Pelodiscus sinensis: one gene and its partner. The protein of the gene in region 1 purifies or fractionates together with the protein of each later gene. This does not show direct contact. Links are inferred from orthologs where the notes say so. Each region holds a gene or a part of one and is shown in the gene's direction. Other genes may lie near its edges.

The links. Proteins that work in one complex are often made in the same cells at the same time.
Region 2: the proteins of RPA3 (region 1) and RFC1 purify together in Homo sapiens (affinity purification with mass spectrometry; 3 studies listed by BioGRID and IntAct, with this or other methods). This does not show direct contact. The link is inferred for Pelodiscus sinensis from reciprocal best matches to the Homo sapiens genes RPA3 and RFC1.

The regions. Positions count from the first base shown.
Region 1 is NC_134712.1:209,643,551-209,650,969, forward strand, and holds the start of RPA3 (replication protein A 14 kDa subunit), read left to right. Parts: upstream 1-4,347; 5' UTR 4,348-4,384; coding exon 4,385-4,483; intron 4,484-5,800; coding exon 5,801-5,875; intron 5,876-7,419. UniProt on the Homo sapiens protein: As part of the heterotrimeric replication protein A complex (RPA/RP-A), binds and stabilizes single-stranded DNA intermediates that form during DNA replication or upon DNA stress.
Region 2 is NC_134715.1:93,048,023-93,055,132, forward strand, and holds the start of RFC1 (replication factor C subunit 1), read left to right. Parts: upstream 1-4,095; 5' UTR 4,096-4,110; coding exon 4,111-4,161; intron 4,162-5,024; coding exon 5,025-5,153; intron 5,154-7,110. UniProt on the Homo sapiens protein: Subunit of the replication factor C (RFC) complex which acts during elongation of primed DNA templates by DNA polymerases delta and epsilon, and is necessary for ATP-dependent loading of proliferating cell nuclear antigen (PCNA) onto primed DNA.

The DNA.
Region 1 (7,419 bases):
AATAAATCCATTCACGAGCTTTTGGAGGACTGGTAACATTTGTTTGCATATTCATTAAGCAAATGATGAATATTCAAATAAGTTGTTTCTGGTCCTCCTAAAGCCCCCAGTGCCAGTGTTAGCAAAGCTTTTGATACGGTCACCCACAATATTCTTGCCAGCAAGTTAAGGGAATACAGATTGGACAAACGGACCATAAGATGGATAGATAGCTGGCTAGATCAGTTTCCCCCAAACGTTTTACTTTAGTTGGAACTTGTTTTTTTTTTCAGTACAGGCAGTCCCCGGGTTACATGGATCCGACTTACATCGGATCCCTACTTACAAACGGGGTGAGGCAACCCCCGCACTAGCTGCTTCCCCCCAGCAGACCAGGGAGACGCAAAGCTAGCGCCCCCCCCCCCCCCACCAGCAGACCAGGGAGACGTGGAGCGGCTCTTCTCAGCAGACACCTCAGCTTGAGAATAAAGAACTGAGAGAAGTGAGGTGTGGGAGAATAAAACTGAGCTCTGGAGAAATGTTTGGCTAGAGTTTCCCCCTACAATATGTACCAGTTCCGACTTACATACAAATTCAACTTAAGAACAAACCTACAGTCCCTATCTTGTACGTAACCCGGGGACTGCCTGTACTGTTTTTTGCAGTCCAAAAATATAAACGCATATAAAAAAAGAATTAAAAATGAATAAATGTTCAGTGTTTCACCCAATTGTATCCTCCGCCCAGCCTGGGCCAGGGTTTAGGGGACCCGGCGCCACATGGGCACGCCAGGAGGCGGGAGCAGAAGCAGATTGGTGGGAAGGTATCTGCTTAGGAGGGAGGGTGCAAGGAGGGGTAGGGTTGCCAGATGTCCAGTTTTGTACCAGACAGCTCGGTATTTGAGGGTTCTGTCTGGGAACCAAATTGAGAAAATACCAGACATATAAAATGTCTGGTATTTTCTAATTAGGTAAGTTTTATTATTATTAGGTATATCAGTCCATAGCTGCGAACTGCCTGGCTGGTAGATGTGCTCACGCTGCGTGAGTGTGTCTACCAGCCAGGCAGTTCGCAACTACTTGAGGGAGGGTATGTGGGCGGGGTGGGGGCAAATCGGAATTACTGGGGCTGGACACACTCATGTGCCCGGGTCAGTCCCACTTCCCGCCGGCCAATTTGCTCCCCAACGCCTCATCTTCTCTCTATCTCCCCCGTCCAGCCCTGCTTCCGGAGGCCGGTTCCCCCCCCCCCCCCCCAACCAGCCCCACTGGCCCTGTCCAGCCCTGCTTCTGGTGGCTGGTTCTCCCGATCTCCCCCAGCCATCTCCCCCCTTCCCCCCGGCAAGCCCTGGTTCCGCTGCCCACCCCCCATCACCGCGGGACAGCCCCACTGCCCCCAACCCTGCTTCCGCTGGCCACCCGCCTGCCCTGATCTCCGCCAGACAGCCCTGCTGCCCCAAACCCTGCTTCCACCATCCGGCCGCCCGCCTGCCCTGACCTCCGCTGGACAGCCCTGCTGTCCCAACCCTGCTTCCCGGCAGCAGGTTTCCCCCCCCCCCCACACACACACACCCCTACCTCCTCCCAGCCCACCCTGCCCTGCTCCCCTCCTGGCAGCTACACTGAGGCCTGGTATTTTTTTTCCCCCGCGGCCCGGTACTGGGCCATGGCCCATAGTTTGGTAAATGCAGTTCTAAGAGAAATGTTACTGACTAGACAGTATTTTTATTTACTTTATTACATATTGTATGGGTGGGGAACCTGAGGCCCAGGAGCTGGATGCAGCCATGGGCTTGCTTGGATACGACCCATGGGGCTAATGGTCCCTCCCCCTCAGCATTGGGGAGCCCATGTTGGCACTCCAGCCCCTCAGCTCTGCTTTCCTACTGCAGGGTTGGAGCACACAAAATTTATTAGCATGGCTCTGGTGCACGAGGGGAGTGTTTTTCTCCTCAATTGAGGGGCCACGTCAGGGAGGACTTGGTTTACTGTTTTGTTTTTGCTTCTCATTTGCGTGCGTTCCTCCCCAACTGATTTTTCTATGGGTCAGTGGTAGAGATATAAGTGACTAGTCGACTACCTGATAATCTCTTGCTTATCCGATAGTCATCTAGTCTCTCGACTAGTTGCTTCCCCCCTTTCTGCTTCCTCTATCAGAGGCAGCAAGGTAGGGGGAGCTGGAGCTGGGGGGAGCCGGCTTAAAAGACTGTTCCCCCCAGCACCATCTCCGTGGACAACAGGAGAGGCAGGGGCGCAAGCCAGGAATCAACTGATTCCCTGCTCGCACCCAATCCCAGAGCTGTGCCTCTCTTTTTTAAATGAGCCCCTGACAGCTCTTAATACATTTAAAAATCAGTAGTGCAGCTGGGAGGACCTGGCACAAGTCAGGACAGCTGATTTCCGGCTCACACTGGGTCCCCTGCTGTGCTCTAGCCTTTTTACATTTAAGGCTGGTGTGCAGCAGAGGGTGACCCTGTGCAAGCCAGGAATCAGTTGGCATGCCTGCCTCCCCCCGCCCCCCCCCCCCACACACACTGTGTTTCAGCCTTTTAAATGTATTAAGAGCTTGCAGACTCTTAATACATTTAAAAAGCAGAATCGCAGCAGGGTTAGCTCTCAGCCCCAGGAGCTAACCCCGTTGCGGCTCCCCAGCTCATTGACTAATCAACGGAAAATCCATCAACTAGTTGATTAAACTAAATTTAACATCCCTAGTCAGCAGCCCCGAACCCCCCAAAAAGTTTTGGGTTATCATCCCTGAAAGTGATAATTATGACTTTCTATGTGTACTCCCTCCTAGCAGCTCCCACACTTTCCAACCCAATACACAGAAGCAGAAGCCTGTTTGACCCATCCACTGCAGCTTCAATTATTTTATTTTGACCGGACCCCTGCTGCCACCCCATGCACGGCCCCTCCAGTAATATCCTGGGCCACATCCATAGGACAGTTGAGGAAGCACTGCGGGACCTCCCCAAACCATGGAGCCTGAGGTGGCTGCCCCACACCGTTCTGAGTGGCACCGCTCTGGTCTTTAGTGAAGGTCCTTCACAAAGACTCTCAGAAAGTTTAAGTACACTAAGAACAAAGAATATTGTGACAGGGTGTACCTACTCCACACTGGTCAGAAAGATTAACCACTTAGCCAGCTGAGGAAGCCACACTGCCTCACTCCTGCTAGGCATGCTCTAGCTCCAACAAGAGTAGATATGTGCTGCAGGTTCCTTAGGTATTCTCCCTGAAGTACTAGGACCCACAAGCCAGCTGGGCTGAGGCTCCAACAGGTCCTAGAGCTGATTGCTGCTTCCAGAGGACAGACAGCAGAGGCCAGAAGATTACCAGCCTTGAAAGAGTTACAGGTGACCCAGAAACAAAAGACAGGGCTATGCAGCACGTTAAAGACTAACAAGATGGTTTATTAGGTGATGAGCTTTCGTGGGCCAGACCCACTTCCTCAGATCAAATTGTGGAAGAAAATTAGCATGACCATATATACCAAAGGGATACAATTAAAAAAAAGTGAACAAATATAAAATTGACAAATAAGATTTTAGAAGGGGGGGTTGGGAGGAGGTTAGTGTATGAGACTATTGGGGTGATAATTGGGAACGCTAGCTTTGTAACGGGTAAGGTAGTTAGCATCTTTGTTAAGGTCCATTGGTAAAGTGTCAAATTTAAGCATGAATGACCCAGAGTGGAACTGAGGTACAGCCCATCCTCGATGCAAGTCCAAGATACGTTCCCCAAAAAAAGTGGAGTTATAGCGGCTGCTTATCCCGGCATAATCACACCGCCCGGCGCGGGCTTATTCACACCCCTGAGCGACTGCAGTCACCTTACCTTAAAGCATGAGCGCTAAGCGCAGCCAAGGAGCAAGCGGCCTCGCACAGCCCTTCTCCACCGACAGGGGCTCACGGCCTGTCCGCGCCAGGGCTCCGCTCAGAAGGGGCAAGTTAGGGACGGGGCAGCCCCGCCGTCAGCGCTCCGGGCGGGGAGATACAGAGCCCCCCCCGCAGAGCCGGGGACTGCGACAGGGAGGCTCAGCCCGCGCCGCTCACTCACCGCGCAGCCGCTCTCCCCGACCGAGCCTCGGCGCTGCCAGACCCCGCCGCTCGCGCTACCGGGATCGCTCTCCCAGCGGCCGCCACTCCCCAGTGAGGCCGGTGCACTGGCAGCGCCCTCGGTTCCGTACGCAGTAAGAAACACCGTTTGACTACGTCAGCGTCAGCAGGGCACCGGTACCGCATTTTGTCCCGTTCGATTGGCTGCCTGGGAGGAAGACCCGCCTCGAAGCCGCCGATGTTGCCAGGGTGACTGCGGGGCTCGGGGGCCGGAAGTGCTGCTTTCCCGCCGTTCTAGGGGCGCTGCCGTGGCCATCCGAGGAGCGCGTGAGGGCGCCGCTCCACATGGGGGACGTGCACGAGGGGCCGCGGCCGCGCATCGGCACCAGCCACTTAGCGCAGCATCTCGGGCAGCCCGTCTGCTTCGTGGGCCGCGTGGAGAAGGTAGCGGGACCCCCGACTCCGGCCAGGTCCTGTCCCCGCCGCTGGCTGCTTCCTCTCACTCCCCAGGCCGGACGGTCTGGAGCCCGCTGCCTCCCTGGGTGTCCCCGGGGCGCGGTGCCGAGGTCCAGGAGCTGCGGGGCTATCGGCCGCCGCGGGAGAGCAGCATGTGGCCCCGGGCTGCGCGGCTCCCCTGGCTCGCAGCGGGCGGCTTTGGGTTCCCTCACAGCCCTTGCTGGGGAGCTGCTCTCTGGAGCCCGGCAGCACCGGGCCAGGCTCTACCAAGGGTCCTGGCCCGAGGTGTGTCAGACCCAGCGCCCAGAGTAGCTCCGCTCCGCATTTCTACCCCGGTGTCCCCGCCCAGGGCAGCTCCAGCCTCCTGGGGTCTGCTGCGGTCTGCATTGGGTGCTTGCTGGCTGTCTACGCTGCCTCCGCCAGGTGCTGATGCTATCATAGGTCGGGGACACCAGCGCATTTGGATCCAATGAATCCTTAAAAATGAGTTGCAGGGAGTTTATATTTGCCTAATGCCACAGTATTTACACAGTCTCATCCCTTGCACCTGGCAAGTAGAGCCAAATAGATAGACTGTTTTCCTCACTCTATCTGCACAAATGAGTCTTTCCCTGTGGCTTGTTTGCTTTCAGCATTATGGTTGAATGTGCTAGGCTTAATTTTGTCACAATTTTTTACCCATGGTGTTGTGTGAAACCTGTCTTTAGAGAATAGCCATGTTAAAGGAGTGTAAAGCACCACTCTGGTAATCAGTGTCCAGCTGGAGCCTGCATCCTGAACCTCTGCCCCAGTCATAAACCCCCTCTTGCACTTCAGCTCCCTGCCCCAGGCTTAGCTCAGAGCCCCTCTCACACTCCAAATCCCTTAACCCAAGACCAGAGCCTACACCCCCAACCCTCTGCCTGGGGAAAGGGAGGAAGGATGGGGGAGGGAGGATAGAGTGAGCAGAGGTGGGGGTCTAGAAGGAGAGACAAGGGTATTTGGGTTTGAGGTAGATCCTAAATTGCATTTAAATTAAAAAAGTGATCTCATGCTTAAAAAGGTTGGAGACCACTGATGTAGACAGAGCCTGCAATTAGCTAAAACAAGTGATGCTTTTTTAAGTAGCCATTCTAACAGATAGGAAGGAGTTGGAAAAAATAAAGAATGTTATCTTAAATATTTAGGCTGATAAGGAATAATTCAGTTTACATACATGAGAAGAGTAAAAGTATCTCATGCAGTTCAGAGTCAAGTTATAATTCAGAAGAAATTTGCTTTGATAGTTTGAAGTTATGTATTAAGGACTTAATAATCTCTTTCTAGATTCACCCATCTGGGAAACTTTTCATTCTTTCGGATGGAGAAGGAAAAAATACAACTGTTGAACTGACTGAGCCTGTAAGTTTAAGTGTCATTTTGGAAGTTACCTTTGTGTCAGTCCCCTCTTCCTGATCATGTACTGAAAGGTCAATAAATACCTAAAGCCAGTGGCTCTCAAACTCTGCATCCAGACTCCCTTTCAATATGGTGACCAGTCCCGAAGGCAGTGGGACTCAGATTGCAAGACCTGCATGGGGCTGAAGCCCTTAAGTTTTAGCTTTGGCTCCCCAGAGCAGTGAGGCCCTGCACCCAGGCAATTTGTCTTAAGTGGCCTCAGGCTTCAGTCCGCCCTCTTAGGGCCATGAAATAATTTGTTGTCAGAACAGGGTCAGTACAATAAAGTTTGAGAATCCCTAGACTTCAGGAGCCTACTCTTTCTTGGAAACCTTTGCTTTTTTTGTGTTGAGGTGTGTGTGTGTGTGTGTGTGTGTGTTTTATTGTTTTATTTGGGCTTAGTTTTGTTTAGCTTTTGTCAATTCCTCTTGTTGGCTTCGTTCTCCTCCTTTGTAACTCTCCCATTCTAAACTATATTTCTCCCCATGCTGCCTCTTCCTCACTTAAACTGTCCCCTTGACCAAGCCTCACCCACCCTGCCCCCACCCCCGCTCGTAGTGAAATTAACAAATTTGTATTGGGTTCATTCATCTGTCTGAATTCTGTTCAGAAGTCTGGTTTCTCTCTCAGCCGCACTACTGACTGGCTTCTCTGAATTGTCCCACTGTAGCCATTTGCACTTTTACTAATTTTCCTGCATAATGTATTCTAATTTATTACTACTTTTACTTTTCCCTTACTCACCTTTTTCTCGCCTGCTTGTCAACTTTGGGCATTAGTATATTTAATCTTTACTAGAATCTACTGTACAGTCTATGCTCACTGTCTTTGAGATGAGCTTTCATCATCTACCTCTTAGAAGACTCCTCGTGTATCTAACAGGTATTCCACTAAGTTTCAGTCAGTAGGACTTACTTTGTTGGTTTTTTTTTTTGTTTTAAACCTAATTTAAAAAGTTTAGGTGTTATGTATATTTTCCTTGATGAACACAAGGTGTCTTAATTCCAAAAGGACCTTCCATATTTTTACAATGAAATATTGTTTACAGTGAGTAAATTCTATTTCTGTGGCTTAACTAGATTCTTCCAAAATAAATGATCAACAGAATTAGTGTGGAAATTACATTGGCTTCCATCCTGCCTTTCGCTTGCAGGAATAATATTTTCCTGCAAGATTATCTATGCTCTGCCTTGATCTTTTAGCAGGGTCCTTATGGGTACATCTACACTGCAGGGCTAATGTCAAATTAAGCTACACAACTTCAGCTAGATCAATTGTGTAGCTTAAGTCGAAATAGCTTAATTCTGCTTTTGATGCTGTCTAAACAGCAGGAAGTCAAAGGAAGAACATTATTCCTTCGACTTCCCTTACTCCTTGTGAAATGAGGGTTACCAGGAGTCAGAGTAAGAACTTGGCTCAACATTATTTTGAAATAAAGGCTTGTTGTGGAGATGCGCACTATGTCATTTCAGAATAATGTCAGATATTCTGAAATAATGCTGCTGTGT
Region 2 (7,110 bases), on another chromosome or scaffold:
ATACGCCTCCTCCTGTGAGGAGTAAGGGAAGCCGATGGAAACGTTGGCTTCTGTTGGTCTCCCGCTGTGTGAGGATGCCACCGTTAAGGATGGTGAATTGTGGTTAATTGACTAGTCCATGGAATTTCCATTGACTACTCAACTAGTAGATAGGCACTTCCACATTTGTCCTTTGAAATGTACAAGAGCTCCAGCTGGGGCTCTTGTACATTTCAAAGGAGGAATGCGGAACTTTGCATGCAGGCTGGGCCAGTGGGAAGTCCCGCTGACTCTGGGCTGCACTGGGGTGTGCCTGCTTTGAAATGTACAAGACTCCCCAGCTGACCCCGGGTTCTGCTGAAATGCCGCTGGTTTCAAAGGGGCAACTGCCTCAAAGCTGATCCTGGGCTTAGCTGTGTGGCGGCTGCCCCTTTGAAACGCTGCCTTCGTGTTTCAAAGGAGCAGCGCCATGGAGCCTGGGGTCAGCTGGGATCTTCTCAGCTGACCCCCGGTTCTGTGCAGCATTTCCCCAGAACCTGGGTCAGCTGTGCGGTGCTGTCCCTTTAAAATGGCTGCATTGGTGTTTCAAAGGGACAGCACCGTGGAGCCTGGGGTCAGCTGGAGACTCCCCAGCTGATCCCGGGATCCATGTGGCATTTTAAAGGGGCAACGCCGCACAGCTGAGTTGTGGGGCTACTGCCCCTTTGAAATGTTTTGGGATTTCAAAACAGCAGTGCCGCACAGTTGATCCCTAGCTCAGCTGTGCAGCGCTGCCACTTTGAAATACCGCTTCTCTTCCCCGCCCCCTTACCGCCTCTGTTTGATAGAGGCAGCAAGGTGGGGGCGGAATCGACTAGTTGACTGACTGGCCGATAAGCATTTTCTTTTATCAGATAGTCAGCTAGTCCTTAACATCCTTAGCCACCATGGCTCGGCTTAAGGTAAGCCGACTCCAGCTATGCATTTTGTGTAGCTGGAGTTGTTTACTTTAAACTGAGCTGCCTGGTCTAGTATAGACCAGGACTATTTTTTTTTATTTTTTTTGCTATTCACAGATAGATATGGCATGAAGAAAGTGTAATTTTGTGCTTCATATAATGTAAGAGCTTTATCCATACATAGTGATGTCCTTTTTAGTCTAACAATTTTGGATGCACCACCTACTACAATCCAGTTGTTTAACAAGATTATTTTTTCCCTCTGGAAACAATGGGATGTCTGAGGAGTTTGCAGGATAATATAGCAATACTGAAAATAGTAAACAGAAGACACTTGAAGGACATGTACAGTCTTTTATTTTAGTAGCTTTAAGGTAAATTAAGCACTCAAATCTAACTTTATTCAGAAAGTGTGTTCAGATGGCTTATGTGCTATTATCTTGAAGCTTTGGCAATTTGCTGAGAAACTAATTTTAAACAATTGAAGAAAGCTTCTTCTGCCTTGATATGGGGATCGAGATGATTTGCAGCAAGAGAATGGAACATAGTGTTAACACAGACACAAATTTTGAAGTTACATGCCTACAGATACTGCATAGTATAGTCATAAGGTTATTATCAAAAGACAAGTGGTAGTATTAGCATGCACAGTGCTTGATGGATGAATAGAAGATGCTTGTTTGAGTTCACCAGTAATGGAAACAGGAACACTTACCCAGCCATTCAAGACAAATAATCCATTTTCTCTTGTCTATTAAAAATCATTAGCATTACTGAGCCACACTTATGTACTAAAGATGACCCCAATGGATTGTAGCTTAGGTCTTTTGTAGACTTTGCTTAGGGCACCTCTGTACTGGCATCAATGCATTACTAGAGTCAGGGATGTAAATGTCCCTCAAAATAGTTAATTGGTTAGATGAAGAAAATTGTATTGTTTAACCAATTAACTGTTGGGGGCAGGGCAGACAGGATGGAAGGACTTACTGGGACAGCTGACAGGCATGGTGGTGCGGTATGGCTCTGGGGCTGCTGTGGTCTGGCCAGTGCTGGGGTCCTGCCTGACCACAGTGTGACCCCCCCTTCTCCAAAGCCTTTCACCTGCTCACTCCATCCCTCCCCCATTCTCTCTCACTTTCACCATACTGGGGCAGAGGCTTGGGGTACAGGCTCTGGTCTTGGATCAAGGGATTTGGAGTGAGAGGGGCTCTGAGCTGAGCTTGGGGCAGGCAATAGGATGCCAGAGGGGGTTCTAGGTGTAGGCTCTGGGACGGTGTTTGGATGCAGGGGTGCTTGGGGCCAGGGCAGGGGCCTGTGTGTATGAGGGGGTTCATGACTGGGTTAGTGTTTCAGAATGTGGGCTCCAACTGGGCACTGCTTACCTCAGGTGGCTCCTGGGTGGTGGTGCAGTGAGGCTAAGGTAGGCTCACCCCTGCCCTAGCCCTGTACCACTCACAAAAGCAGTCAGCAAACTTAGTCATGTTGTGTCCCCTTTCTGCTCTATGGAGATAGGATATACAGTGGGAGAGGGGGCACCTTGACATCAGCACTCCTGCTCTCCCTCCCCTGCCCTGCACTTCACAGCAATCAGGAAGCTCCTAGGGGTGGGTGGAGGCAGCTCCAAGGCAAAGGGCAAGAGGTGCACAGCAGTAGGGGGAGGGGCAGCTGAAGTGCCCGCACTTGATAGCCTCTTGGCCAAACCAGTCAGGATCACCTGTCAGAGGCTCCAAGATTTACCAGTAGATCCTGTTCTACTGGTTGGTGACCACTGCATTAACAGGTCATTAACTATTCCAACATAACTTTACATTTAAACTAAAAGGATATAACTAACTTAAACTCACACCTATGAGGACTGATATTTAAAAGTGAAAATGAAATGTCTTCCTCCTAATTAGTTTGTAGTAGAAGTGAATATATTATGGCTGAACCCAAAGGTCCCAGGCAGCATTGTAATAAGTTTTTTGTGTAGGTGGATTTTTCACATATCAACAAGACTGTAAAATTGGTGATAGTGATTCAGAGGAAGATGCAGTGCTTGAAACTACTTCAGTCATTGTTTGAGGTTGACAGCATGCCTTTAGATTTTAGAACTATCCAATTACAGTAAAAATTCATAACTTGTAAATTACCATTATTACCCTTGTGGCAAGATAGCTAAGTACCACTAATAGGCTACGTCTACATTGGCATGATTTTGCACAAGAATTCTTTTGCGGAAGAGTTCTTGTGCAAAAACTCTTCCAGAAGAGAGTGTCTACACTGGCATATGCCTTTGTGCAAGAGATGTGCTTTTGCGCAAGAGCATCCGTGCCAGTGTAGATGCTCTCTTGCGCAAGAAAGCTCTAATAGCCATTTTAACCATAGGGCTTTCTTGTGCAAGAAATTCATGTTGCCTGTCTACACTGGCCTCTTGCGCAAGAGCAGTTGCGCAAGAGGGCTTATTCCTGAGCAGGAGCATCATAGTTCTTGCGCAAGAAGCACTGATTTCATACATTAAGATGTCAGTGTTCTTGCGCAAGAACTAGTGGCCAGTGTAGACAGGCAGCAAGTTTTGGCACAAAAGCGGCCACTTTTGTGCAAGATCATGCCAATGTAGACACAGCCATAGAGTGGTACTAATTATTTAGGTCTCAACCCTTTATGGAGGTACACATGAGGAGATCCTTATGGAAATAGTCCCGTTTACTTCAGTCCAAAAACATCTTCTTAAAGAGTCAACATCTTAATTGTAATTGAAATCTAACAAGTTTAAGTTTTCATTAAAGTAAAACTTCTAAAACAAGACTACCATTCAAACCCTGAGAAATAAATTACAGGCTTTATCAGAAAAAAAAAAAGGCTAATTCTTACTTAACAAATCACATGTTCTATTTTGTCTTCTGACTCCTCCTCACAAAGGAGCCAAAGTAGTATACTTTCATATCAAACTTATCTAGAATAAGTCTTAGTGGCTCTACAAGCTTGTGAAAATATGCAGAAATATTAACAGCATGACCAATACTTAAAAATCAAAACTAACATTACTCACAGTTCATAAGAAAATACTATTGGTCTTAGTACTCATTGGAAACTAAGGTGAACTCTAGAGGGGGTAAATTAGACAGTGGTGTTACCTGGGTAGAATATAGTCAAAGGCCACACCCTCCACCTGCTATAAATTCAGACCAAATGATTCTATGCTGCTCCTATAATGGTTGCCATTACAATGGATGCAATACCTGGAGTTAATGATGTTAAACAGGTATAACAAACTAGATGATTCTTTTTTAAAGTAAATAGTAATACTAAGGGCTTTTAAAAGATGCTGGGTCTATGTTTTTAAGAAAGCTATGTGCTCATACAAGATATTCCTAAGGTTCAAACCTTTTATTTCTGCAGGTAGAACACTTTTTTGGTTCTTATAGTGGTAGGAAATATCGTCAGTATGTTATCCCTTTGAGATCTGTGGGTTGATTAACATTGTTGAACTTGAGAAAAATGATCAGATACTTGCTTGCTGGAGAGCTATACCAAACACTTTGCTAATGCTAAAGCCATGGTGAAATGACCAATTTCTCCCAGATTGTGAAAAGGTGGAGGGTGCTATTGTTCAATATCCTGAAGTTATTCATGAGTTTTGCTGAGGAGTTTCATCTGTTAGGTTCTATCCTACAGATAGGTAGGTTATTCATTTGATCTATAAAAGACTCTGGGTTATACTTGTCAGAGTTTACTGAATATTTTGGTGCTACTTGCAACTGTTTGTTAATCCTCTGTCCTGTTAATGATGTGACTCTTTGTTATACATTGCAATATAATGGCTGGCAGAGGTATTCCACTAAGGGAAAAGTGGGCGCTTGAAATGATCGGTAGTGGAAAGGAAAGCTGCTGCCATGGGTGCCTCAACTGAACAAAGGTTGCTCTGCATCTGCAAGTCCTATAAACAGGAATACATTCAGTTCTTCAGGTATTAAAACGAACTTCTAGATCAGTGAATAGCAGAAGAGTTGCTGAGAGAGTAATTTGCTTTTAAAAAAAAAATTATCTTGCTCTTTTGTGGAGGGAAAGGTTGAAGTATTGTATGTTGCCTTTTTAACCCTCTCTCCCCTCCCCCCGTTTTATTAGGATATCAGAAAATTCTTTGAGGTTGTATCTACTGGCAAGAAACGTGAAGGTGAGACAGTGAAAAAGTCAGAGAAAACCAAAAATGGAGAAGATACATCCAATAGGAAGAAGAAAACCAAGGAAATCAAGGTCAGTTTGTTTTCCTCAGCTGCATGCTATTCTGGGCTTGGATTTGAATGTTGCTGTGCTATGGGACTGCTCAAGTCTGTGGCTCTTTCCTTACAACTTGTTCTTGGTTTAAATGTTATTTTCAGTGGTTTCTCACAAGCAACTGATAAATGTTTGAGTAATTTCTCTGTAGTCAAAATTCCAATTGGTCTTTACAGTCAGGGGAACATTTTTACTTGTATGTTTTAATATGGTACTCTGGAATGTTGTCTGTTTTAATATGGTACTCTGGAATGTTGTCTATAATAACATAGTCTTCCATAGTAGTCAGTATTTCTGCTTTCTGAAGAGCATTTAGGCTGGGGTTTATGTCTTGTGTGGCAATGAGAAGTGGAAAAGGAGAAATATGTTTCCTAAATCAAATTTGGCTAATAAAACTGAGCAAACACAGTTCTCTAGTCTTAGAACTATTTTCTAGGTTGGATTTAAGTTATAGCAGAAGTTACTTCTGTTTCTGCATCCCAATCTTCTTGTAACATCCTTTTCTTATAGGATAAAAAAACTTAGTTTTCCATGTACTGCGGGGGGCGGGGAAGATTCTGATACTGTCATGGAAACAATCCTATGAAATATATAAGCAAATTCTGGTAAGGTCCTGATTATGTAAGGAGCTCTGTTCAGGCAAATGCCTATTTATTTATTGTGTTTACATCCTCAGGCACCCTTGATATAACTTATATTGCTGTCTGTAGGGTGTATTTTTAAGATAAGCTGCCATTCTTGAGCTTCCAAACTATTTTTGCGATTGTCTGATACCTGGGGAAAAAAGATTGTCACTTTTGTACAGGGCACTACCTACATGAAGCTCATTATAGGCTCAGAATCAAAGTATGTAATGGGATATTGTTAACATTAGGGTAATTAATGTGAGTAGAAAGCATAATCAGAATGCAACTCTGTCTCAAAAGGATATAACAAAGTGGGCGGGGAGTTCAGAGGCAAGTGATAAAAATGAATAGAGGCATGGAAAGATTTCTGAATTAGGAGAGATTGAAAAGATTCACTGTTTTAGCTCAGAGACCGCTAGTGAGAGGGAAGATAAGGATACAAAATAATAAATTGTATAGAAAAGGTGAATTTGGTACATCTCTTTACCCTCATAACTCAAGAACAAGGAGCTGTGCAACAAATTTAAAACTGGTAAGAAAGAATTTCCTTATACAACCCCTAGTTAATTTGTAGAACTGAAAACGTAATTACGGTACGTAAGAATGGACATCTTGGTCAGACCCAGTAGTACATCTAGCCCAGTTTCCTGTCTTTCAGTGCTCTAGAGGGGATGAATGGAAAAGGTAATCATCAGGTGATCCATCCCATCACCCATTCCTAGCCCTGACAAAAAAAGGCCAGGGACAGCATCCCTGCCATTCTAGCTAATAGACATGATCTATCCTGCATGAATGTATGTAGTCCTTTTTTAACCTCTGTTAAAGTCTTGGCCTGACAAGGGGTTTCACAAGTGTAATGCTTAGTAGATTTCAAAATAGAATTGAACATTTCCTATGAATAATAGATACATATACATTTACATTAGATAGGAATAATATATTTTCGCAAGTGTTATAAATGACTACATTCTACCCAGGGGTATAAAAAGGGTTAAAAAATACTGTGTAGCTGATGACAGTTCCATCAGTTACATGTTTAATGGGCACCCTGGCCCCAAGGGCTCCTGGCTGTGTGGGAGTTTAACCATTAACAGGAACTGATTCGTCCCTAGTCAGTCAGAAGACAACCACCAGTTTGTCTGGTTCAGGAAGAAAGCTCCCATTTAGGCAGATGACAGTACAGTTGTTTGTTACAATATTTTTTACAACTTCCATTTAAGTGTGTATGGGATTGGCCACTATCAGACTGGCAACTAGACTAGATGGTATCACAGATCTATTTGTTATGATAGTTAAAAAAAGAGGGAGCA